6 linked regions of the Oryzias latipes genome follow. The protein of the gene in region 1 interacts with the protein of each later gene in a biochemical or structural test. Links are inferred from orthologs where the notes say so. Each region holds a gene or a part of one and is shown in the gene's direction. Other genes may lie near its edges.

Region 1 (4,277 bases):
AACCTTCACATTTATTTGTATTTGCAGAATGGAACAGACATTATTTATTGAAATAAACAAATCAGATATAAATATATGTTTTTAATTTATTCTGAGAAATGGTAAATTTATGAGCAATTCGTGTATTTTGGTGAAATGCATGTAACTATAAATGTTTCTGGACTTTTACAAAACGATAACAACCTGTTTTAAAGATTTCCCTTTTCCCTGCCTGTAGGTCAAGGACATCTTAAAACCCGAGGTGATGGAAGAGATTGTCATGTTGACCCAACAGAAGCTGCTGGAACAGGAAGGATAAAAGGCTAATGCTAAAACCACATCCAACAACGGGGCCACCATCCACTTATCCAAAAATTAAGTTTAGTTGTCTTCTATGAATCAAAGTGAGGTGCTCAGAGATCACATTCTTTATTTGATATCAAACATTAATAATGCATATAACCTGAATGAAAATTAAAATGTTGTCCACATTTGTAAATGCTCGGTGTGACATTACATTGTGATGGTTTTGTATAAAATAAAATTTCAGTCATTTCTGTATAGTTCTCATCGTGGTCTGTATTGATAAAAAACAATGAGTACATTGAATCAATTAACCTATAAGAACCCATGGTGGACATAATTGTAACAAAATCATCAAAAGTGTGTTCTTTGGTCCACTTGGATTTTTGTATATTCAAAATAATTTTCGTTTGAAGGAAAATGGGTCTTCAGGGTTAATGTTAGATCTTAAAATAAATCTGATTATTTCACTCTTCATTAAATGTTAAATTAAATATTGTTAAATGTTTAGCAGCATTTTGGTGCTTCATGCTTCTACTAACTTAAATACTTTTTTTTCATAACAGTCTGAATCATTAGCTCTCAAGAAATGTTTTTTATTTTAAACAATAAAAAAATGAAATTCAATTTGCTACATAAAATATTTATTAGTTGGAACATGGCCTACATTTCCCTTTTTATGTACTAATTTTTGAAAATTCATTAATTGTTAGTTTTATATGCAGGATTTAATTTTTTTTCTCATAGTTGTTTGATAACTAAAAAAAATGTTCTACTCTAAGACAGGTTAATAAAAAGTGACTTTATTTATATAAAAGTGTGCAATCACCTTTGTTATTCCTGAATGTTTTTTCTAACCAACCTTGTATTCTTTTAAATGAAGAAAGCTAAAAAAAGAATTCGATTTATCCCTGCTGGGATGGCTTTTCCCCTTCTGTTTCCCTTCCTGCTCCTCCAGCAGAATCCAAACTCGTGCGCTTCCCTCATTTTTTTTCCAAACTTTATTGATCATAACATTAAATTTACAAAACATAACATCAAGGAATAAAATAGATCAGCATCAACAACTATTGTCATCATTCCAAACTTATTCAACCACAGCAAGTAACAAACGTAGCAGAAACATATCAAAAACGTGCGCTTCCCTCATGGTTTTTTTTTTTTTTTTTTGCGCTTCCCTCATGGTGCTAGCCCACGCTGAGCTCGTGACGTCACACGTAGCCCCACCCACATATTTCTGTAAACCACCTTACGTATGGAAGTATGGCGGTTCCAGCGACAGAACTGGAACTCGGCCAAAGTTTACTGCTCAGGTTTTCACGTGAAAGTGATGAATAAGCACGCAAGCATAGAGCTCGCTAGTAAAGGGCACGGCGGCTGGGAATTCGGGAGAAAATCTAGGAGACAGAGTCGTCTGGCCCTCAGAGTTCCCTCAACTTCGCCTACAAGTGGCTTTAGAGACGCGGGGGGAGACGCTCCACAAAACGGGAAGAGTGGACGCGGAAGTTTGAAACACACCAACAAGTGCTTTGATTTTTGGTTACAGAGTGTGAAACTGCGGTCACGGGACATGTTTTGGTGAGATAATGAAGTGGACTTGACTGCGGTTACCAGCAGAAACCAACCGTTGACTGTCCGGCGTGCATAGGGGTCTGGCGCTGCTTACCACCAGCAGAAGTTTGGTTAGCTTATGGCTATCGTCAACATTAGCTGGAGCTAACCAACAGTGTCAATGTTTTCATGTAAGTTTACCTCACATTTAAACACTTATCAACGTTTTATTTTTTAACTGTACAGTTTTATTAGAGTCAAAAACAAAGATGTCGTTGTCACAAAGTTGTTTATAGTTAATTAAACCACGTATGACACTAGTTTACATTATTGTGCTCGAAAGATTAAGACTAAGATAGTCGAGATAAACAACATAAGGTGTCGCTTTTCTTTAGTACTGATAAGCAAATGTATTTTCAGTATTTGTAGTTAGTTATGTGAAGCTGTAACTAAACCGAGACTAACCCAACACTATTATTTTGAGGCTGTGATTGACGTTAAACAATTTAGAAAAGTAGTTGTTCGAACCCTAAACCTAACAAACTTGAGGAAATACTTTCAATTTAACTCTCAACTTCTACAGAACAAGACATTTTTGAGCAGTTTTAACATTAAAAAGACACTTATTCTAAATTATAATTAATTTAATCTTTTGATCTGATTGGTCAGGCTCTAAAATTATTTTTTTAATCTAGATTATTATAAAATGCATTTCATGTTATTATTTAACATGTGGTCAGGTCTAATACTTTTTACAGAACAGAAATAGTCTTAAAACAACTCCCAAAATTGAAAGTTTGTTGGCGTATTGCTTAAAAGACATTTTTTTACAAGCTTATTTGTCATTTCTTTATTTAAAAAAAGTTTGATCAGATAACTTTGAATGCTGATTACTGTTGTTTACGTTTCTGCAGATTCCTGTTAGGTCCCTCATATGTCGTCTGAATGCATAAAAAAACTGAACCCTACTGGAGTAACACAGACTTGTGCAGGAGGCCTGCATCACCAATACTCCAGGAGAAGACAGTGTGAGCCCGGAAAGAGGCTCCTGTCTTCTCCAGATCCCGCCATTGCCGCTCAGCAAGCTTTCTAACCGACTCCGTCCGACTTGGATAGTCCCGGCTGCAGCCTGGCACCCTGCCCTTATGGGGCAGCAGCCGGGAAAGTTTGTCGGGGACCAAAGGAGACCCAGTCTTCCAGCCTTTATTAAGGGGGGAAAGAAGGACTTACCGCGCCATGTGAATCAGCCGATGAATGTTTTTGATTGGCACGGTAAGATCACAACCCCACTCATTTTTAAGGTAAAAATTCAGAGACAAAAAATACTGAAGGACAATCATTTGCTTTTTTCCACTTCCTATTGGCAATCACAAATTCTAGATATTAATGTCTGCATTCAATAGGCTCATGTTTTTTAATCAGTTTATATTTTAGAAGACTTTGTCTTGCGTGCACTAGCTTCAGCAAAATCTTTGGCAGAAAATTTAGGGGATTTGACATCTTTGTCATTGATTAAAAAGCTGGCAAAACAATCCATGCAACCTGAGCAGAAAATCAAATCTATGCAGCTTCAAAATCTGATCCAAAGGTATTTTACCAAACTTTTTAACCTTAAATTTACCTTTTTAAATGCAAATTCAATTGCAAATGCATTTTCCTGCAGATAAATTAACCTGGATGACAAGTTTGTGCTTAGTTTGGCCTTATATGATATAATTATTATTGGATTAATATTTCACAGATGTTTCAAAGTTCCCTGAGAAAATAAAAGCGTTTTCTCTCACATCAACTTCCATTACGGTGTGATCAATGATATGCCACTTTGAAAATGTTGTGCCTAAATCAAAAGTGTATAGGGATGTTTAAAACTCAGTCATAGATATGTAATTAAATATGAAGCTTACTTCAAAGCATTTTACAACATTATCCAATACAACCTATTGCTGAATATAACATAAAAACCTTTGTTCTTAAGCTAAAAGCTTGCTTGTCAGTAAAATGTTGACTTAAAACCTTATTTAAACACTTTTTCTTGTGATTTTTAAAATGAAAACATTTGTGCTTGTGATTAGGATTTACAATCATCATTTTTTTATGATCTGAAAAAGAGTTTACAACTGTGCTCCAAATGTACCGGATGCAATCTGATTAAAAATTGCAAATTATTCATTAATGTGGAGGACTAAAGCCCCTTTGGATTGATTTTGAAATTAAAAAAAAAAGCTTGATAGTTAGAGTGGGAAGGGAAAGAGGAAGAAGATGGAATGAACAAATTCCATTAGGAAAAAAAAACAGGGATTTTGTGGGCTTTTGGCCACAAAAGCAGAGCAAAATTAAATGCAATTTAAACCATTTCTGTCATTAGTATTTTGAAGGAGTATGAAAGCTATTTTAGCGTGCGATCATGCTCAATGATACCATCTCTGTTTTCTTATGTTATGTCC
Region 2 (3,500 bases), on another chromosome or scaffold:
TTCTGCTTGGAATTCAAAACTTTTATCCTGACAAAACAAAAAAAGCATGTTTGTTTTGTAGTAGAGCAGCTTGAAATCATATCTTCTCCTGTAATTTCCTTTTTTTTTACGTTACTTGTCCCATCCAACAGCGAAGCAAAAAGGAGCCGAAGCCCCTTGTGTTAGACAGATTTTAACTGTTAAAACTGAGGGTTATGAATCTGTGGACGCACGAGGTGTATTTTTTTAAAATCCCCTTATAAATTTGAGGCAAAACTTTATTTATTATAACTTCTTTGATTTTCATCTTTTGAAGTAAAAAGAATTAACTTTTGTAAGATCCCACTACTTTAAACGTGCCTTTATAAATCTTGCTGTTTCACTAAATCTTCAAATTTTAACGTTCCTGACCGTTTCCCAATATCCAGCTATTTAAAAAACGATTTTCTGCAGCAACCATTAAATAATTAAATTGGTTTTCTATTTATTATCAGACACTGCAACGCAATAAGGAAGACAATGAAACATTCTCAGCATTTCACAGGATAAATAATACCTAAAGTCCCACTCTGATCATCTTTTTGATTTGTTGTGTTCCAAGTGTTCCAAGCGATCTTTCCATCAGGATTATGTCATTTTTAGCCAAAATAAAAAAAAAATGGTGTCCTTTCCCAAGACATAGTTTCTGCAGAGCGGCAGGAGTTCATTAGATATTTCTGCAGAGAAGTTGTGGGCAGGGCCGTAGGTACGGAGTAAGCCTGCCCCCACTTCCCGTCATACATCTGTTTACACGCCCTTCTGCGAGCTCAGGGTTGTGGGGGGCCCTTTAACGCTGTAACAAAAACAGTGAGCAATATTGGAGCTATCCAGTTTGAAGCCAGATGCCAGCTCAGAAGAGGAAAACAATGACGTAGACGGATCAAGCCGTCTACAAGTGAATGCTTTAGAGTGGAATGGAGCAGGAAGCTTGTCGTCTGCCATAACTCTGTACAAAGCTGCTACAAGCTTTCTCAAGGCTTTTATTCTTCAGCTCCTGATTCGCAGCAACTTGAACAAAGAAATACTCAGAAATGCAATTTAGAGCTTAATTTTCCTTAAATTTATCCTCCAATATATAAATAGAAAAAATTATTCCAAACAAATTTAGTTTTAGACACTTTACTTTTAATATATGATGAGTGAGACTTCCAATTTCGTCTAATGTTGTTGTATTTCTAGTCCTGCTGTTTTGTAACTTTTGTAATTTGGCAGTGTGCTCAGGGCTTTCTCCAAGCTGCCCTCAAAGCTGAGACTGCTAATGTGATCCGGGAAGAAGAAGACGGAGAAGTTGCTGCGAAAAGATCCTGCAAGTCATCAACCAACAACACATCTTTGAAGTAAGTTCAGGCTCGGCTGAGGGGGGGGGGGGGGGGGGGGGGGGGCACACGAACGTGTGGTTGTCCTCTCATTGTGCAGAAAATGTAGCTTGAAGGCTATTCCAAAAACTGAGAAATTAGGCTGTTTCTCACTCAAGTTTTTTTAAATTTTAAAATTTTAAATTTTTTAATGACTTTTCAGAAAAACAATGGGAAAAGGTTTGTCTGAAACGGTTCTGCCTGTGTTTTCTTAGTGACGTGGACATGAGCGCCCGCAGCGAGGTTTGGGCCGTGCTGAAAATTCGGCTGGAGGAGCTGCTGGACCCTCTGAGCTCTGCAGAACCGGGGAGTCCCCAGACTCTGTTCGCTCTGCAGGGTCTGGCCCTCATCCTCCATGTGGCGGGTTGCTGCTTCTCCCCCATCAGGTAAAGTTGTGGCTTCCTCCCCTTCGTGCAGATGCCGTGTTCTGATGAAGTGACTCTGTTTTTGGTGAGCAGTCCGTGTCCTCTCCTGTGGGTGTCCGCCGAAACCCTCAGCAGAGTCCTGAAAAGCTGCCGTGTGGTGTTGGAAGGAGCCGTTGGAGAGCAGGATCGTTTCCAGGCTGCCGTTCGTGCCACTGTTGGGATTCTTGACTTCGTGTTGTACCTGACGTGTGAGTAAACATGCAAGAGAAGCTTGTAATATTTGGTCTTGAAAAGCAACTTTTTGGTCTAAACTGAGTCCTGGCTGTCCCGTCTTGTTGCCACAGTGGGTAGAAAAGGGGAGGATGAGCTGCAGCGGGATGTGTGTGCTCTGCTGTCTCTGCCCTGGGTGTGCGAGAACAAGTCTGCCTTCGCCTTTAAGAGTTCGAGATTCCCTTCCTGGCTGCCTGCTTTGGCCCAGAAGCTCAACAGCTCTCTTTGTGAGTGTTTTTATTTGCTGAGAAGTTTCTGGATGAATTAATTTGGTTTATTTTAAGCAATAAACACAAAAGAAAAGGCAATAAAAATACATAAATATGTCAAATCTATTTTAAGATAATTCTTTGCTCTATTATAAAAGTGTTCTCAGGGGTATTTTAGGTTTAATAATGGCCTTTTTAGGCTAAATAAAATCAAAAAACATTGTTTTCATGGACATCAACAGTTCGAGCGCTCTGTTTATGCTCTCTTCCGCTAGCTTACAGCCCCTTACGCCTCCAACCTACCATTTAGGGGCGCAACTAAAATGGCGAGCAATATTGAAGCTATCCAGTTGTACAGCTTAGAGCCAGATTCCAGCCCAGATGTGGAAAACAGATGTACGTACATCAGAATGGAGTGGAGCAGGGACCTAGCATCACAAATACGATATTTTCTATCAGAATTTTTTCATCTTCACCTGATTTAAATAAAGAAATACTCAGAGATGCTATTTTAAGCTGAATTTTCTTTAAATATGTCCTCCATCATGGGAAATAAGCCATAAGAACAAGTTCTAAGCACCATTTTCATCGGAGTGGGTCTTATACATAAAGTAATAATTGATTAAGAAAGTAATGCTATCATTTTAACATTGTAATTGCTTCAAATCATATTTGCATTTATACAAGCAGTACACACTTATGACATATTAAATCTGTCAAATATTCAGTTTGTCAAATGTTTTTTTTCCCTCATATATTGGTTCTAAAGGTGTTTTTAAAGGTTTAGAATCTGTCTGTGTTCTTCTCCAGCACCTGAAATCGAGGCAGACTGTGTGTCGCTGCTCGCCTTCCTGCATGGCGGCGTGTGTGAGACGTGGCGCCTGTGCGTCTTTACAAAAGCGCTGCAGAATCGGGATGAATCCGTCAGAGCTGCAGCCGTCCGGGTTTTCCCGGTCCTTCTTCATCACCTGGGAAATGGGTTCCACAGCCTCATCGGGACAACTCTCCTGTGCGTAAACTTCCCGTGCAGTCACAACATGTTGGATTTCCTTATTTGGTCATTAATCATGTTGCTTTTTTCCTTTGCTGGGCGCTGCAGGTCTGTGCAGGAAGATGAATCGGAGCAGGTGAAGGTGGAGCTCGCCCGGATCGTTGGAGACTTGAGCTGCGTTCAGTCTGGACTTTCTACCCTCATACACAAAGAACACAGCAGCCCTCCCAAATTCCTCTGCTTCCACTGCAGGCTGAAAACAGAGCATGATGGGAAAGTAGAGCCATCCCTC
Region 3 (2,309 bases), on another chromosome or scaffold:
AAATATGTGATTTTGAGAATGAAAAGCTTTTGATCCACATGAACTGATTTCCACCATCACATGTTTAAGCATGTTTGAATTATGCTGTCAAAATCTCAGTATCTCCGTCCTCAAATGTGTGTTTTTTGTAAATTCGGATGATCGTGAATACATTTAATAAATGAGAGGAACATTTGGAAAGAGAAACCTGTCAGAATGAAACATGGATGAATTCCATCTCCCACTGGAGTATTAGTTTGCTTAAACTGGTCTTCAGCTTCAACTTCAGCTGCTTTTGGGCATTATGGGACAGAAGGGGTCAAAAAGCACCAACTACACAGTCGCTGTATGAAACTGCACCCACCCAAAACTCTGGATTATTTTCAGAGAAATAAACTGTTTTAACTCTTTGGGGCAAAATACAAGAGATAAAAACAATTGTAGGAATTTCATAAAGTGTAATCCAGTGTGTGGACTCTGCTCGTTCATTATAGTCAGATTGAAATGTATTTAAAAGGGAACGTTAGAGAGAGTTTCCCACGGGTTCTGCTGTGTGCTGTGAAACAGGGTCAGGACGACATGCGGCAGGATGCAGTGATGCAGCAGGTCTTCAGCATGTGCTCCATGTTGCTGCAGCGCAATAAGGACACTCGGAAGAGGAAGCTGAACATCCGAAGATACAAGGTTCCTGTTGTCCCTAATAAATAACAGTATTCCTCTTTAAATTCCCACTCTCATCCGCTTTTGATCTGTTGTGAAGGTGTTCCCGGTGGTCTTTTAATTGCTCTTTTTAGCAACACAAAAAAAAAACCTGTGTCATTTTCTGGGACAAAACTTCTGCAGAGCAACAGTAGTTCAGTAGTTGTGGCACAGAATAATCCTGCACTGATTTCCCATCATCCCTTTGGTTACACAGTTTTGAACCAGATTCCAGCTCAGATGCGGAAAACAAAGAGGTTCATGGATCTATTTGTCTGCAAGTGAATCAATCAGAATGAAGCAGAGCAGGAAGGTTGTGGCCCGCTAATTGTAGTTTGTATGTAACAACTATAACAGCTTCCCCACAATTTGAAGAAACAGTTTTAATCTTAAGATTCCTAATATATGTCCTCCATCTTCAGAGAATTGCTATAAAAACATGTTGAAAAACATAAAAAATTTGTTTTTCTTCTTTAAAATCTTTCTCTTTAAAGACCAACTCTGATGAAAATGCTGTTTTAGGTGTTTTTAACATGTTCTAGTGGCATTTTTCTGATAACGGAGGACACAATGAAAACGATACCCATAATTGCATTTCTGAGTATTTCTCACTGGAAAAGCTTTTACAATAGATCAAAAGAGGATCGGATTGGGACTTTACTGGTTTCTGGTTCTTGTCTAATGTCCTTCTAAAGCAAGACGTTGTGGTTCACACTCGATCCAGGTGGTGCCGTTCTCGCAGCGCAGCGGCGTGTTGGAGTGGTGCTCCGGCACCATGCCCATCGGGGAGTTTCTAACAGAACCGAACAAAGGAGCCCACAAACGCTACCGACCTCAGGATTGGACCAGCCTGGCCTGTCGCAAAAAAATGATGGTATTCCTTCAGCAGAACGTTGAAAGAGCATTTTAAGTGAACACTACAGGGTCCTAAATAAACTTCTGCTTTCTTTCCACGTCTTTGCTGTGATTGCAGGAGGCTCAGAGTCTGGGATTCGACTACAAGCTTGAGGCCTACATGAACGTTTGCAAAAACTTCAGACCGGTCTTCAGGTATTTTTGCATGGAACGATTCCTAGACCCCGCGTTATGGATGGAGAGACGACTGGCTTACACCCGCAGTGTTGCCACCTCCTCTATAGGTACCTGATGTTGCTATGGCAACTTGTTGACCCAATACATCCTGCATTGACCTGGAATGTTATCTTGTTGAAACAATGGTTGTTTTTGCACCACTGTGTTGAACTTTCCTTACAAAACTTTAGGCTTTGTTTTAAACGTGAGCAAAAATTTAAATCTTGTGTTTAACTAAAAGCCTAGAATAAAAACTATGCACTGGAAAAACACGCCCCTTAGATAAAAAGTCAAAAATTATTACCCCATTGGAAGTTTTCTTTTAAATAAGAAAAAAAAAACTGTCAATGGGGCAAGAAAAGGTGTCTTACCAAGAGTTCTTTTTCTAAGACGTGTTTTTTCAAACTAAGATTATGTTGCCATTAAAAAACTTGATAAGATGTTTTTCTTGCAAGACAGAAAATCTTTTTTTTTTTAAATACGTTTTCCTTTTTTACTTTCTTCAGATTCATTTTGTGTAGAAACGTTCTATTGTGTATGTAGAGACAAAAATCCTCTTT
Region 4 (4,172 bases), about 4.7 Mb from region 1:
TCCACTATTGTGTTTTGTCAGGGAGGATTTTTATGTGGCACAGCCTTTTGCATTTTAAAAACTCTTTTTTTTCCCTTCCGTTGTATTTCTTATTGAGTCAAGTAGCAGTTTACTATTAGTGTGTCACCGTCCAATTCCAGACCATATATACATTAAGATCGAGTGAAAGGGGAAGTTAAGAAACATCAGGAAATGAAATAAGAGAAACATGCTTTTTTCTCCTTTAGAGATACTTAACAGAGAAAACGGGCTTTTTCATTTTAGCGAGTCTATATCTCAGTCTATTATAAAGCTACACATCTGCAGAGGTATCAGCCATAAAAAATATCTAAGCACTAAGATATAAGGAGTTTTGAAAGTGTAGCTAAAAATTTTTGCTTTAAAATCTCTGACAAATTCAGCAACTCCCTGAACCTGAAAGGGATTCAGCAGGTTTAGGAAATGCATGGATGGATGAATTCAGGCTAAAACCAACAAAAACAATGGTTCACTTCTATTTAGCATAAAAATAACAGTAACAAACACAAAGCACTGATGTACTTTTCTACTGAAGCTCCTGCCAGGTTTACGTCAGAGAAAAATCAGCCCAAAGGTTGCAGACCCCTGGTATACTGTGACATTTCTCACACAATATTTGAGTAGTTTGGTTTTATTAAGTTATTTTTTCTCTCTTATTTACTTCAGAATAGTAGCCTAGTCTATGATCAGTGGTGGATTTAAAACATTTCATATGGGGGGGCAGTAGACTTTAATTGGGTGGCAAATGTGATAAGCAGAGAGGAAGGCCATTACAAATGAAAGGGTTAACCATGTTTCATAGTTTTATTATTGTTATTAATAACAACACTGCATTTTTTTTTTTTGCTGAGGTGCCATTACTAACAAAGCTTGCATTAATGATTTCTTAATCTTTGTGAAAATAATAATACTGTTTCAAAAATTGGTTGGGGGCAACTGCCCCCTTCTGCCCCCCTGTAGCTCTGGCCCTGCTCATGGTGGTTAAATGGAGGAACTCCTGCTTCACACGATTCCCTTTTGTTTATTAGCCGTGCGATCATTGAAAATTTGGCCGCACATCTTTTGGTTGGTGTTTTGTCAGGTCTAAAATGGAATAGGAAGAAAAAGAAAAGAAAACTTAAACCGGCACATTAAAAAAGAAAACTTTATTGAAAATGAACAGTTTTACAGAATATATAGACAAGGGCATCCGAAACAAATTAATGAACACACTTTTTTTTTACTCACAATAATAAAAGCAAGGGACATGAAATGACAACAGTGACACATCAAAGTGGGCCCGCCAGAAACGTCATCACTCGCCCACCTTTTCCTCCGCCCACGGCCCCACCCCTTCCTCTCCTGCTCCCCTCCGTGACGTGCAGATAGAAAGCGGGACCAGCCCTCCCGTCGCCATTTTTCCCGTGTCCTGCTTGCGCTTTCTGCTGGCTGAAACAAGCGGGACCCGCTGAAATTAGAGAACGGATATCGCACGGAACCGGCACGCCTGGATCTCTCGCGGGCACTCGAGGAATGCACGCGAGAACTGGAGCGCAGCAGACACGCGGCGGCCGTCATATCATTTTTTGGTGTGAAGACGTGTTGCGAGCCGCCATTTTTCCCCCCCTCAAAAGTCTACTCCGACCCGAGAAAGGGGAGTTAAACACCCCAATTCCGTGACGTCCGCCTTTTTGTGACACCAAGAGGATACAGAGTCGGTATTTTCTTTCTCTACGCTGTCACAATTTTTGTTTTTAGTTGCAAACATGGAGATGGAACGCGCCTGAGGCCACCCTTTCCGTTCTCGTAACTGACACTGACTGAACTGAAGCTAAATAATTGTGAGTTTTCGCGGAAGGCGGAACAACGAGAGGAAGCTTTATTGATCATTTGTTGCTTCAGTTTCCGTCGATGTTCGTCCGTTTCGGGGCCGTTAGCTGCTCGTCACATTATGCTCCCGGGCTGGATCAGCAGGTCGGTCGCAGCCTGTCGCTGAAAACGTCAGGTTGATCTTTTGTTTATTTGTTTTAATCGGGTCCTCGGGCGACGAACGCCCTACCCCGCATCTGCCAAGTACTGCAGCTGGATGCGATAGGCCCGTTTGAATCTAACTTATTCAATAGTTCTCATTTTCTTCTTTATATTAACTTATTTTTTAAAGATTTTTTTTAAAATGTCCGCGTCCCGATTTGACTCGTCTGATCGCTCGGCCTGGTATTTCGGACCAGTGTCGCGACAGGAGGCGCAGAACAGGTTACAGGGGCAGAGACACGGCATGTTTCTGGTGCGAGACTCGTCCACCTGTCCCGGGGACTACGTGCTGTCGGTGTCCGAAAACTCCAAAGTATCTCACTATATCATCAACTCTTTGCCCAGTAAGAGGTTCAAGATAGGAGATCAAGAGTTCGAAAACCTCCCAGCCCTTCTGGAGTTCTACAAAATCCATTACCTGGACACAACAACGCTAATAGAACCAGCATCCAGGTACGATCGTGACGTCTTCCAGCATCCCGGTAGACGACCACTTTCTGTTCTGTTATTCCTCAGCAAATATGTCGTTGAATTAGCATGTTATTGGACAGTTCCTGTTGAGTTTGTTTTAACATTAGCTAAGATGTTCATGAATAACTAGCCTGATCTGTACACAACTGTGTGTGACATTAGGGGGTGTAACAGTTCGATTTGTATCATAATTCATAGTTGCCAACCCGATTCATAGTCGATATTGATTCATTTTGAATGATCCGATCATCCACTGACCTGAAATCAATCCACCATGACATATTTCGCCAAAATTTCAACCAGTTCGACTCAGAGATAAATACTTGGATACTCAACAGTGCAGGTGAAATCTTCCAGATTCCCTGTCTTTCTTGGAAGATAATCAGGTGTAAATTAAATATGTGTACAAACAAACAAACAAGTAAACAACAATTAATGGCAAATGTATTTTAGTCTAACAAAGTTCAGCCCACTTTTGTTTTTCCACATAAGAATAATACAAAGGCCATTTTTAGAACATTCTACCACACTGAATGGTGACGTCTTAGCTAAATTCATAGTAGTTCCTTAAATTGAACTGGAACGATGGACTGATCTTTTTTTATTTTATTTATTTATTTATTTTGCCGCTATCACGTTTGTTGTCCTCTCTCAAGGTCGTTTTTACGTTATAGAAAAATAAACAATCCAAATGGTATTTTCCTGTATCGATTTGAAGGTCATTTTGAAATAATTTAATAATGGTATAGATCAATTCTATTAACAACAGATAAATCGATCTGGAAATCATTTAAGGCAATTGATCGTTACACCCCTGTAGGGTATAGTACATTTGCGTGTGTATTCTAGTGTTTTTACACACTCTTACACACCAAGGCATTAGTGCACTTCATGCAGATGATACCTTTCTTAACCCTTTGACACCGTAACTTTAGCTGCTGTGTTGATGGTCTTGAATTACAGTAACTCTTCAACCGTTTAGGCAATTAACATATGTTCTGAACTATAAGTTGCAGCAGCTAAACAATACATCATAAGGAAGGGGGGAAATCATCTATTAGTCACACTGGAGTTTAAGTCGCACTTTTTAACATAGTACGTGACCAAGAACTAACGTTTAATCTCTAAAGGAGATCATACTAATGGAAAAGATAACAATAATGCACTTATTATCTGCACACTTCACTACAAACTGATGCATGTATAGTGCAAGCATCAGTGCATTTTTAGCCAGTTTTCTCAACTGTAGAATCTGTTGGAATTTTGTTACTTGGGTAAATGGTCCAAGAGTTACAGTAGTTTGAAGAGCATGTGTTGTTTCATGTCTATTAAAGGGTTAACAAGGAACCATTGATACACTCTTCTACGCAAAACATTTCAGTTGGGTCATATCTTTTCAGGTACCCAAGCACTATTGGTGGTCCGGTCCAGTCTATGATTGGTCCAGAGGATAACTTTGAGTACGTGCGGACACTATATGACTTCACTGGTAGTGACGCGGAGGACCTTCCATTCAAGAAAGGGGAGATCCTTATCATTTTGGAAAAGCCAGAGGAACAATGGTGGAGTGCCAAAAATAAAGATGGACGCGTCGGGATGATCCCCGTGCCCTACGTGGAGAAATTGGTACGACCCTCCCCCCATCCTGGCCAGCCTTCCCACGGCTCGCGCAA
Region 5 (3,500 bases), on another chromosome or scaffold:
GTCACCTTGACCAGGTGTGCTCGCCTTATCGTGCTCTAATGATTGTTTTTTTCTAGTTATGTAAAGCTAGAATTTCTTTATGTTTCTATTTTCCTACCAATTTCTTTCCTTTTTATTATCATGCTTTTTAAGAGATTATTAAGAATCTGTGACGTTAAAGGTATCCCTTATAACAATGGCGCCTTCTCTCAACATTTGTCACGATGAATAATCACAGCGAGGGAAAAGTAGAACTCGGTGTACGAGCTTTACCAGTCCAGGACAACAGAGAACAAGAAGAAGGAAGTTCTACATTTCTCTGTCAGACAAAAAGACCATCCATATAAATAAAATGCATGAACTTGAAACACTCTGGACTGACAGAATACAGATCACACAAACACAAAAAATAAACTCTCCATCAAAGAAAAATAAAAAAAGCACCTCCCACCCTTCTCTGCTGCTCCATCTTCACTCAAAATAAACTACAAATGTGTATTATTTTAGAATATTAAACTACAGTGATACAAATAATCCTCAAGGGATCCATAAATGTTACATCTAGTTTAATGATATAGTCTTTACTAGTGATGTGTAGATGAGGCCACGTGAAGCGTTTCAACACATTGCCCAAACTGTAATGATACTGTGTCGATACTGTGTCACTTAATACTGACTGGACCAAAAACGTTATTGCAGGGAACCAAGTTAAGAAACTCAGCTGATATACTTTTTAAATTGAAGCTAAACACAATATTTGTCATAGTAGTTCCTTATTCCCATGTCTCGCTCTATAATGCCCCAGCATTAGGAAAGTGCTTTTAAGTTTGACGGTTCTGCAGAACAAATGCCACATTTAACCTCTGAAACATAAAATGACTGATTAGAGTTCGTTGGAAATAGAATTATATTCTGCTAGATCAAGCGGAAACCGAGAGGAAGAGGAGAAACAAAAAGCCAGAAACACTATTAAAACTATTAAATAATTCCGCGAACCTCATTAAAACACCACATTTAACACCTTAAGTAAAGATTCAGTAAAATAAAACCTCAAACACAGGTGGGCGGGGAAAACGGCGGCACACGAGCGCGAGAATCATTCAACAGCTGGAAGCAGGGCGCGCATCTGAGGCATCAAAAACTGTTCTTCAGTCCAACTCACCGCTGGACTTATTTAGCACCCAAGTGACAGTAATGTAACCAAGAAGATCTGGTAATTTTTCAAAATATAATAACTTTCAAAATAAAAGACTGCTTAGAGACTCATTATAAAACTAACTAAAACCTGCAAAGTTGACGCGAAAACCACACAAATCAAATTTTCTCAGCAAAATCAAACCCACCCAATTGGGTGGAAAACCGCATGATCTGGCAACACTGCTGGTAGACGCGCTTCCTTGTTTGGCTCACAGTGGCTGTATCGGTCACGTGACTTCTCCTAAAGGGATACGCGCAGCGACACAGGGTTTCACTCTATGAGCTTTACACGTGAGCCGATGCGTCTGTGTTGCCAGACCCATCAATAGTCTTCACACTTTATATATTTACCATCATTTGACTCTAACTCAAGTACCGGTAGTTGATGGAGTCCACCCTTCTTCCATAATGAGAAACTGGAATTCCCTATTCCTAGGATCACATATGGAAATGTGATTATCTATTTATTGTGAAATATCTCCAATAAAAAGAGCAGTGAAGGAGGATGGAGGCTCCTCAGGGAATTCCTGTTTTAATGTCTTCTTAACACCGATCACCAGGTTAAAGATTTATCACAGATTCACCTAGGCTGGCAGCTGCGCTTCTGAGCTTGGTTGTCCATTTTGGTCACCATAGCAGTGGCAGCTGTGGTGCAGAGGAAGAGCGGTCGACCTCTGATTGGAAGATCGCAGGTCCGGTTCCCGCTGCGCTGAATGTGTTGAACCTCACATTTCTCCTCATGGTTATAGAATGACCCCAGTGTTTGGCAGTGGAGCCGTCATCAGTGTGTGAATGTGTGTGCATGAGTGAATGTTAGAAGTTTTTATGAACTTTTCTGGCAGTAGTGAAGAAGAATCTGACTAAAGTTCAATCATCTCTGCAGTTGATGATGTCTGCCATGTATGCAATTTGCAAAGTAAAAAGCGTCGACCTGCGCTTCAAGTTAATCGTCTCTGCCTACAAGAACATGCCCAACACCAGCCAAGAGGTGATGCAACTTTCAAAAAACTCTAATATAAACTCTTCTTTTTGAACAGTGACTTATGAGAATGTTGTTTTTTCAGACCTTTAAGCACGTGTTGATCACAGAAGGCCAGTACGACTCCATCATCGTCTTCTACAATCAAGTGTTTATGCAGAAGTTAAAAACCAACATCCTGCAGTATGCATCCACCCGGGTGAGAGACTTCAGACCTGTTTAACAGTGTGCTTTTATTGCAAATGTACTCGTCTCAGTGCATCTGCTGTCCTTTCTCTCCAGCCACCTACTCTTTCTCCGATCCCTCAAATCCCATGCAGTCCCTACAAGTTCCCAAACTCCCCTCTGCGTGTGCCGGGAAGCAACAATGTGTACATTTCTCCTCTAAAAAACTCACGCCTGTCTCCGGGTATGATGACTCCTCGCTCCAGGTCAGTCCCAAGAGCTTAGAATATGTCAATACTTTAGAAATATTTCCTTACAATATATTAATTTTTTTCCTTTGTGCAGAATGCTGGTTTCCATTGGTGAATCTTTTGGGGTTTGTGATTTTTTAAAATAAAAATTATTATTTTACTCATGGCTGGAGAAGCTGCTACATTTTCTTTTCTTTCCTTTTTTTGGTCTACAGTTTGCCAACCGCTTCCAGAAAATCAACCAGATGGTGAACAGCGGTGACCGCGCTCACAAGAGGACTCTGGATGGTGGCTCTGCTCTAAAGCCTCTGAAGAGGCTACGCTTTGATGTGGACGGGCAGGATGAAGCTGATGGCAGGTTTGTGACAATTCGACTTCAAAATTCAAGCTTGAGAGTACCGCCACAAATCAGGCTTATTTGACTTAACATCTGGATCATTTTTTCATTTCAATTTACAGCAAATCTGGAGGAGAGTCTGCACTGATACAGAAGCTTGCAGAGATGAGTAAGAAAAACACCTGTGCCTTTGCATGTCCCGCTGAACTCCTGCGGTTGTTTTCTCACACATCTTCATGCTGCTTTTCTTGCAGGCTCCACTCGCAGTCGAATGCAAGAGCAGAAGATGAAGGAGGATGCAGAATCCAGGAAAAAAACAACCTAAGATCTGCTGGACTGACCTGCACTGTTTGAACACTACTGTTTGTCCGCACACAAAGTGAAACCCAAGTTGCTTTTGGATTTTTTTGTGCACCTTTAGCTGCTTTTAGTTTATAGTTTGATTGAAAGAGTAGTTTGATGACATCGATTCTCTCCCCTTTTTTTGTCTTTGTCATGCTTTGAGTTTTTTAACTAAATAATGACTTTTATAGAATTGTGGTTGTTCCTGATGTGGGTTTGGTTTATTATAGTTGCTCCTTTTAAGGAGGAA
Region 6 (3,960 bases), on another chromosome or scaffold:
TTTACTTTTTAAATATATATTTATCTGTGTGCATTTGTTCTAACCCCAGTCTTTTTCTTTAAATCCAGGGTAAAGGATTCTGTCATGTTGATGATTAAAGCACAGAAAAAATGTTTTTAAATCTTTTATTTTTCAGATGCTGCAGCTGGAGCCAGTGGGACAGACCCGTGGTGGCCACAGTCTCCCAAAAAAGAAGATTTCTGCAAAACCCAATGAACATTAAAAGAATCCTTTTAAAAATGAATATTTCACTTTTCTTTTAAAGCCAAAAAATAAATCCTGTGTTTTAGTCTGACTTTTTTGTATTTCAGTATAAGAGTGATTCTCCTCTGAGTTGAAAACACTTCATGTGCAATTTTGTTATAATTGTAATAAATGGAAAATGAAATGTGAGGTTTATTCTTTTATTGTTTTAAGGTTACGCTTGGTTGGAAAAAAAAAATTCACTTGAATTTTGTTGCAGTTATGTACGAAAAATGTCAAATTAGTAGGTCACAGCTGTTTTAAATTTGAATTTGCATTTATTGGCCCATGACTTGGATGTTTGTTTTTGAGGAACTAGTTTAAAATCAAACGCATATTTAAGCATGCGGAGGTCATGTTTAAATCCTTTTATGGTGGGGATTTTATTTTCCTATTGAAAGTAAAATAAAGGCTTCAAATTTAAACAAGATGCCAATGATGCCTGAAAGTGCTTTTACAATTCAGTGAAATCTTTGCTCTATCAAAATAAAGGTTTATTTCAATGTTTACTGAAAACCTTATTAGTCACGGATGAATAAATGAATCTAAATACCACTTTTGAAGACTTTTTTTGTTAAAATAATCACAAAAACGTGTCTGACAGACATTTTATTTGGTAAAGACATTACTTATAAACATGAAATTGAGGGGAAAATGCGTTTAAACAGATCTTCCTAATGAGAAATTTTGGATTTTTAACGGATCCCTGTTCTTTGTAGCTTTTCACATTATGAGCAAGCCTCTTTTTTTAAGATTTAAGTATACATATTTTATGTTTTTGTGGAAAACAATTTCAAACTAATATCCATTTACGAAGCTAAAACCGAAAATGTTTAGTTCTTTATTTTTTACTTGATAAAAAAAATGTTCCTTTTCCGGTTTCCTGTTTTGTCAAGGCATGGGAACACATGTGACGTCATCGCGTTCGACAGGAATCTCGTGCGCGGGAGTTTTGTTTGTAGGATCAGCAAACAGAACAAAGCAGCAGGTATTTCATCGAAACCGTGGTCTTTAGTAGAAAAATGTCACTGCTTCTAGGGGGTTCGAACCATGACACTTGGCTCTTTGCTCTTAAACCCAGAGCAGCTTTACGGAAGATCAAACTTTTTGTACGAAATTACGCAAATTAGCGCTAAAGCTAAGTTAGCGGGCGACTTCAATTTAGCCAAAAAATGCTTTGAAAGATACAAATAAGCCTTTTGAAAATATGAACAGCTGCTGTTGTTATTGGAAAACTTTGATTTATAGGAGTCAGTTTGTAGTCGTTTGGTTAAACACTGGTTTCCCCATAAGTGTTACGTCAACTTATCAATAAAGTTTTTGAATTTGAACAACGGGGTGTAACTTCAACAGGCAATGTTAACTTTAGAAAACATTTGTCTCTTCTAATCATTTATTATAAAATGCGGATTAAAAAAAGCTTTGAACACCTGCTGAGACGCTGCAGTTAACATTTTATTTTATCAACTACAACTAAGAACTACAAATCCCTGCTGCATAACAGGCTGCAAATTGGTTTGATAATGCCACTTTATTCCCTGAATTATGTAGAGGAAAGAAAAGTAATTTAAACGTATATATTTAAAATTATTTGACTAATAAAAATTCGTTAGTATTCAGTATATTGCTTAAAAACCTCTAAAGAGGATTGATGGATAATTGCATGCTGGGAAATCATGTTTCACGTGTTTAAGTTTTAAGTTACTGTTAATATTCTTATTCTGTGCTTAGGTGTTTTGGGTCGTTTAAAACGCTCCTATTTTAGTTTAAGAAAATATCCTCAAGTCTTTTATGTTTTGAAGAAAAACTAGTATTAAATCAGTAGGATTTAGTTAAATGAAAGCATTAGACCTCCTTAAACTTTCTGTCCTGTTTTGTTTTGTATCGTGGTGTTTGCTGCTCTGACACTCCTTTTTGACTCTGTGCAGTGAGGACCCTGCCTGAGGAGAATTCAGCTTTTCATTCAAGAGTCATGGCCATGAGGAGCGAGGCTCGGGTGGAGGCAGAAGTGGCGGTGGAGGAGGAGGAGAACTTTGGGCCGCAGCCTCTTAGCAGACTGGAGGTTTGAACCCTGATAGTTCTATTGTGTCTTTTGCAGAAGCTTTGTTGTCTTAAACATTTTGGTTTCTGCTTGCAGCAGTGTGGAATCAGCTCCAGCGACATCAAGAAACTGGAGGACGCAGGCTTCCACACCATTGAGGCCGTGGCGTACGCTCCCAAGAAGGAGCTGCTCAACATCAAAGGCATCAGCGAGGCCAAAGCCGACAAGATCCTAGTGAGGAACAGCAGCTTCTGGCTTCAGGGATTCTGCTGCTCCTACCTAACGGTTCTGTTATCTCTCTCAGACTGAAGCTGCCAAGCTAGTACCGATGGGTTTCACTACAGCCACAGAGTTCCACCAGAGAAGGTCGGAGATCATCCAGATCTCCACAGGATCCAAAGAGCTGGACAAACTCCTGCAGGGTGAGTTTGCTGGAGCTCCTTCACCATCCCTGAGGATTTGAAGAATGTTGACCTTTTCCTTCCTGAGTTCAGGTGGTATTGAGACAGGCTCCATCACAGAGATGTTTGGGGAGTTTCGCACGGGGAAGACGCAGCTGTGCCACACCCTCGCTGTCACGTGTCAGGTAAGATCAGCGCGGAATGGCCAAACTTCCATCTGTCTGATCACGTGAAGCTTTCAGTCCTCTGTTCTGTTTGCAGCTGCCCATCGATCAAGGGGGAGGAGAAGGGAAAGCGATGTACATCGACACAGAGGGGACCTTCAGACCAGAGAGGCTCCTCGCTGTGGCAGAGAGGCGAGTTTCCACCGTGAGCGTCAAACTCCTCATCTTACTTTGAGAAAATGTTAAAACTCTGGGCTCTTCAGGTACGGTCTGGTGGGCAGTGACGTCCTGGACAACGTGGCGTACGCCCGCGCCTTCAACACCGACCATCAGACCCAACTGCTGTACCAAGCTTCAGCCATGATGGCAGAGTCCAGGTGAGTCCTTCACACCTTCTGCTGTCCTCCAGTCCACTTCCTGAGATCAGACAGTTTGCAGGTTTCCGAACACATTCAGTCAAAGGTCACATACCCAAGTGTTTGAGCTTTAAAGTCCGATCATCTTTTTTTAAAATCTATTTTCAAATCATTCCCAGTAATCTTTTTATCATGAATATGCTGATTTTGGCCAAACTAGCATAACTGGTTGCCTCTAGTTGAATGTTTATCCTTCTTTTACAATGCAGCAAATAGGTTCATTTGAAGAATGAGAGATAAAAAATCAATACATTTAAATATATATATATGTTTATTGACATGTTATTGAGGGAAACAGTATGTCAGGAGGGGGCGGCAATGAAATAGAGGATTATGTCATCAGCATGGAGGTGGATGGAGGAGTCAGATGTTCTTAATGTTGATAACTGATGAGATCCATCAGGATAAACCTCAGACAGAACTGCCCCCTGCTGGTGGCTCTGTTAGTGCACAGACAGCGAGGACTTTTCAGGTGCCTCACTGGTCATCATATTTGGTGGACTTTGTGAGGAAGCCGCAGAGAAAACCCACACATGCAGCCAAATGTAATATTCTACCGAAGGAGGTTGACAAATGGAACTGCTGTTAAAAAAAAAGTTGTCAGTTCATCTGTATTGTAAAAAAAGCATCAGAACATCAGCTTTAGATTACTTTAGATGGTGCGTTTGTGTCTCAGGTATGCCCTGCTGATCGTG

What was found.
Region 2: of the proteins of abl1 (region 1) and atr, one has a biochemical effect on the other in vitro, tested with the Homo sapiens proteins (2 studies listed by BioGRID, with this or other methods). The link is inferred for Oryzias latipes from reciprocal best matches to the Homo sapiens genes ABL1 and ATR.
Region 3: of the proteins of abl1 (region 1) and atm, one has a biochemical effect on the other in vitro, tested with the Homo sapiens proteins (3 studies listed by BioGRID and IntAct, with this or other methods). The link is inferred for Oryzias latipes from reciprocal best matches to the Homo sapiens genes ABL1 and ATM.
Region 4: the proteins of abl1 (region 1) and crkl form a complex in vitro, tested with the Homo sapiens proteins (4 studies listed by BioGRID and IntAct, with this or other methods). The link is inferred for Oryzias latipes from reciprocal best matches to the Homo sapiens genes ABL1 and CRKL.
Region 5: the proteins of abl1 (region 1) and rb1 form a complex in vitro, tested with the Homo sapiens proteins (3 studies listed by BioGRID). The link is inferred for Oryzias latipes from reciprocal best matches to the Homo sapiens genes ABL1 and RB1.
Region 6: the proteins of abl1 (region 1) and rad51 form a complex in vitro, tested with the Homo sapiens proteins (2 studies listed by BioGRID). The link is inferred for Oryzias latipes from reciprocal best matches to the Homo sapiens genes ABL1 and RAD51.

The regions. Positions count from the first base shown.
Region 1 is NC_019870.2:12,824,770-12,829,046, reverse strand, and holds the start of abl1 (tyrosine-protein kinase ABL1), read left to right. Parts: upstream 1-1,477; 5' UTR 1,478-2,024; intron 2,025-2,747; 5' UTR 2,748-2,978; coding exon 2,979-3,105; intron 3,106-4,277. Other genes in the region: exosc2 (exosome complex component RRP4), read left to right, coding at 218-298. UniProt on the Homo sapiens protein: Non-receptor tyrosine-protein kinase that plays a role in many key processes linked to cell growth and survival such as cytoskeleton remodeling in response to extracellular stimuli, cell motility and adhesion, receptor endocytosis, autophagy, DNA damage response and apoptosis.
Region 2 is NC_019880.2:5,838,700-5,842,199, reverse strand, and holds part of atr (serine/threonine-protein kinase ATR), read left to right. Parts: intron 1-1,230; coding exon 1,231-1,355; intron 1,356-1,588; coding exon 1,589-1,759; intron 1,760-1,831; coding exon 1,832-1,986; intron 1,987-2,082; coding exon 2,083-2,235; intron 2,236-3,027; coding exon 3,028-3,226; intron 3,227-3,316; coding exon 3,317-3,500. UniProt on the Homo sapiens protein: Serine/threonine protein kinase which activates checkpoint signaling upon genotoxic stresses such as ionizing radiation (IR), ultraviolet light (UV), or DNA replication stalling, thereby acting as a DNA damage sensor.
Region 3 is NC_019871.2:24,904,862-24,907,170, forward strand, and holds part of atm (serine-protein kinase ATM), read left to right. Parts: intron 1-546; coding exon 547-663; intron 664-1,402; coding exon 1,403-1,552; intron 1,553-1,651; coding exon 1,652-1,817; intron 1,818-2,309.
Region 4 is NC_019870.2:17,501,482-17,505,653, forward strand, and holds the start of crkl (crk-like protein), read left to right. Parts: upstream 1-1,372; 5' UTR 1,373-2,170; coding exon 2,171-2,481; intron 2,482-3,899; coding exon 3,900-4,172. UniProt on the Homo sapiens protein: May mediate the transduction of intracellular signals.
Region 5 is NC_019872.2:15,912,888-15,916,387, reverse strand, and holds part of rb1 (retinoblastoma-associated protein), read left to right. Parts: coding exon 1-14; intron 15-2,059; coding exon 2,060-2,164; intron 2,165-2,240; coding exon 2,241-2,354; intron 2,355-2,437; coding exon 2,438-2,586; intron 2,587-2,665; coding exon 2,666-2,696; intron 2,697-2,786; coding exon 2,787-2,929; intron 2,930-3,030; coding exon 3,031-3,077; intron 3,078-3,162; coding exon 3,163-3,233; 3' UTR 3,234-3,500. UniProt on the Homo sapiens protein: Tumor suppressor that is a key regulator of the G1/S transition of the cell cycle. The hypophosphorylated form binds transcription regulators of the E2F family, preventing transcription of E2F-responsive genes.
Region 6 is NC_019882.2:19,723,064-19,727,023, forward strand, and holds the start of rad51 (DNA repair protein RAD51 homolog 1), read left to right. Parts: upstream 1-1,160; 5' UTR 1,161-1,231; intron 1,232-1,267; exon of another isoform or gene 1,268-1,352; intron 1,353-2,171; 5' UTR 2,172-2,215; coding exon 2,216-2,305; intron 2,306-2,380; coding exon 2,381-2,518; intron 2,519-2,588; coding exon 2,589-2,706; intron 2,707-2,778; coding exon 2,779-2,870; intron 2,871-2,946; coding exon 2,947-3,041; intron 3,042-3,112; coding exon 3,113-3,226; intron 3,227-3,941; coding exon 3,942-3,960. Other genes in the region: centromere-associated protein E, read left to right, coding at 137-216.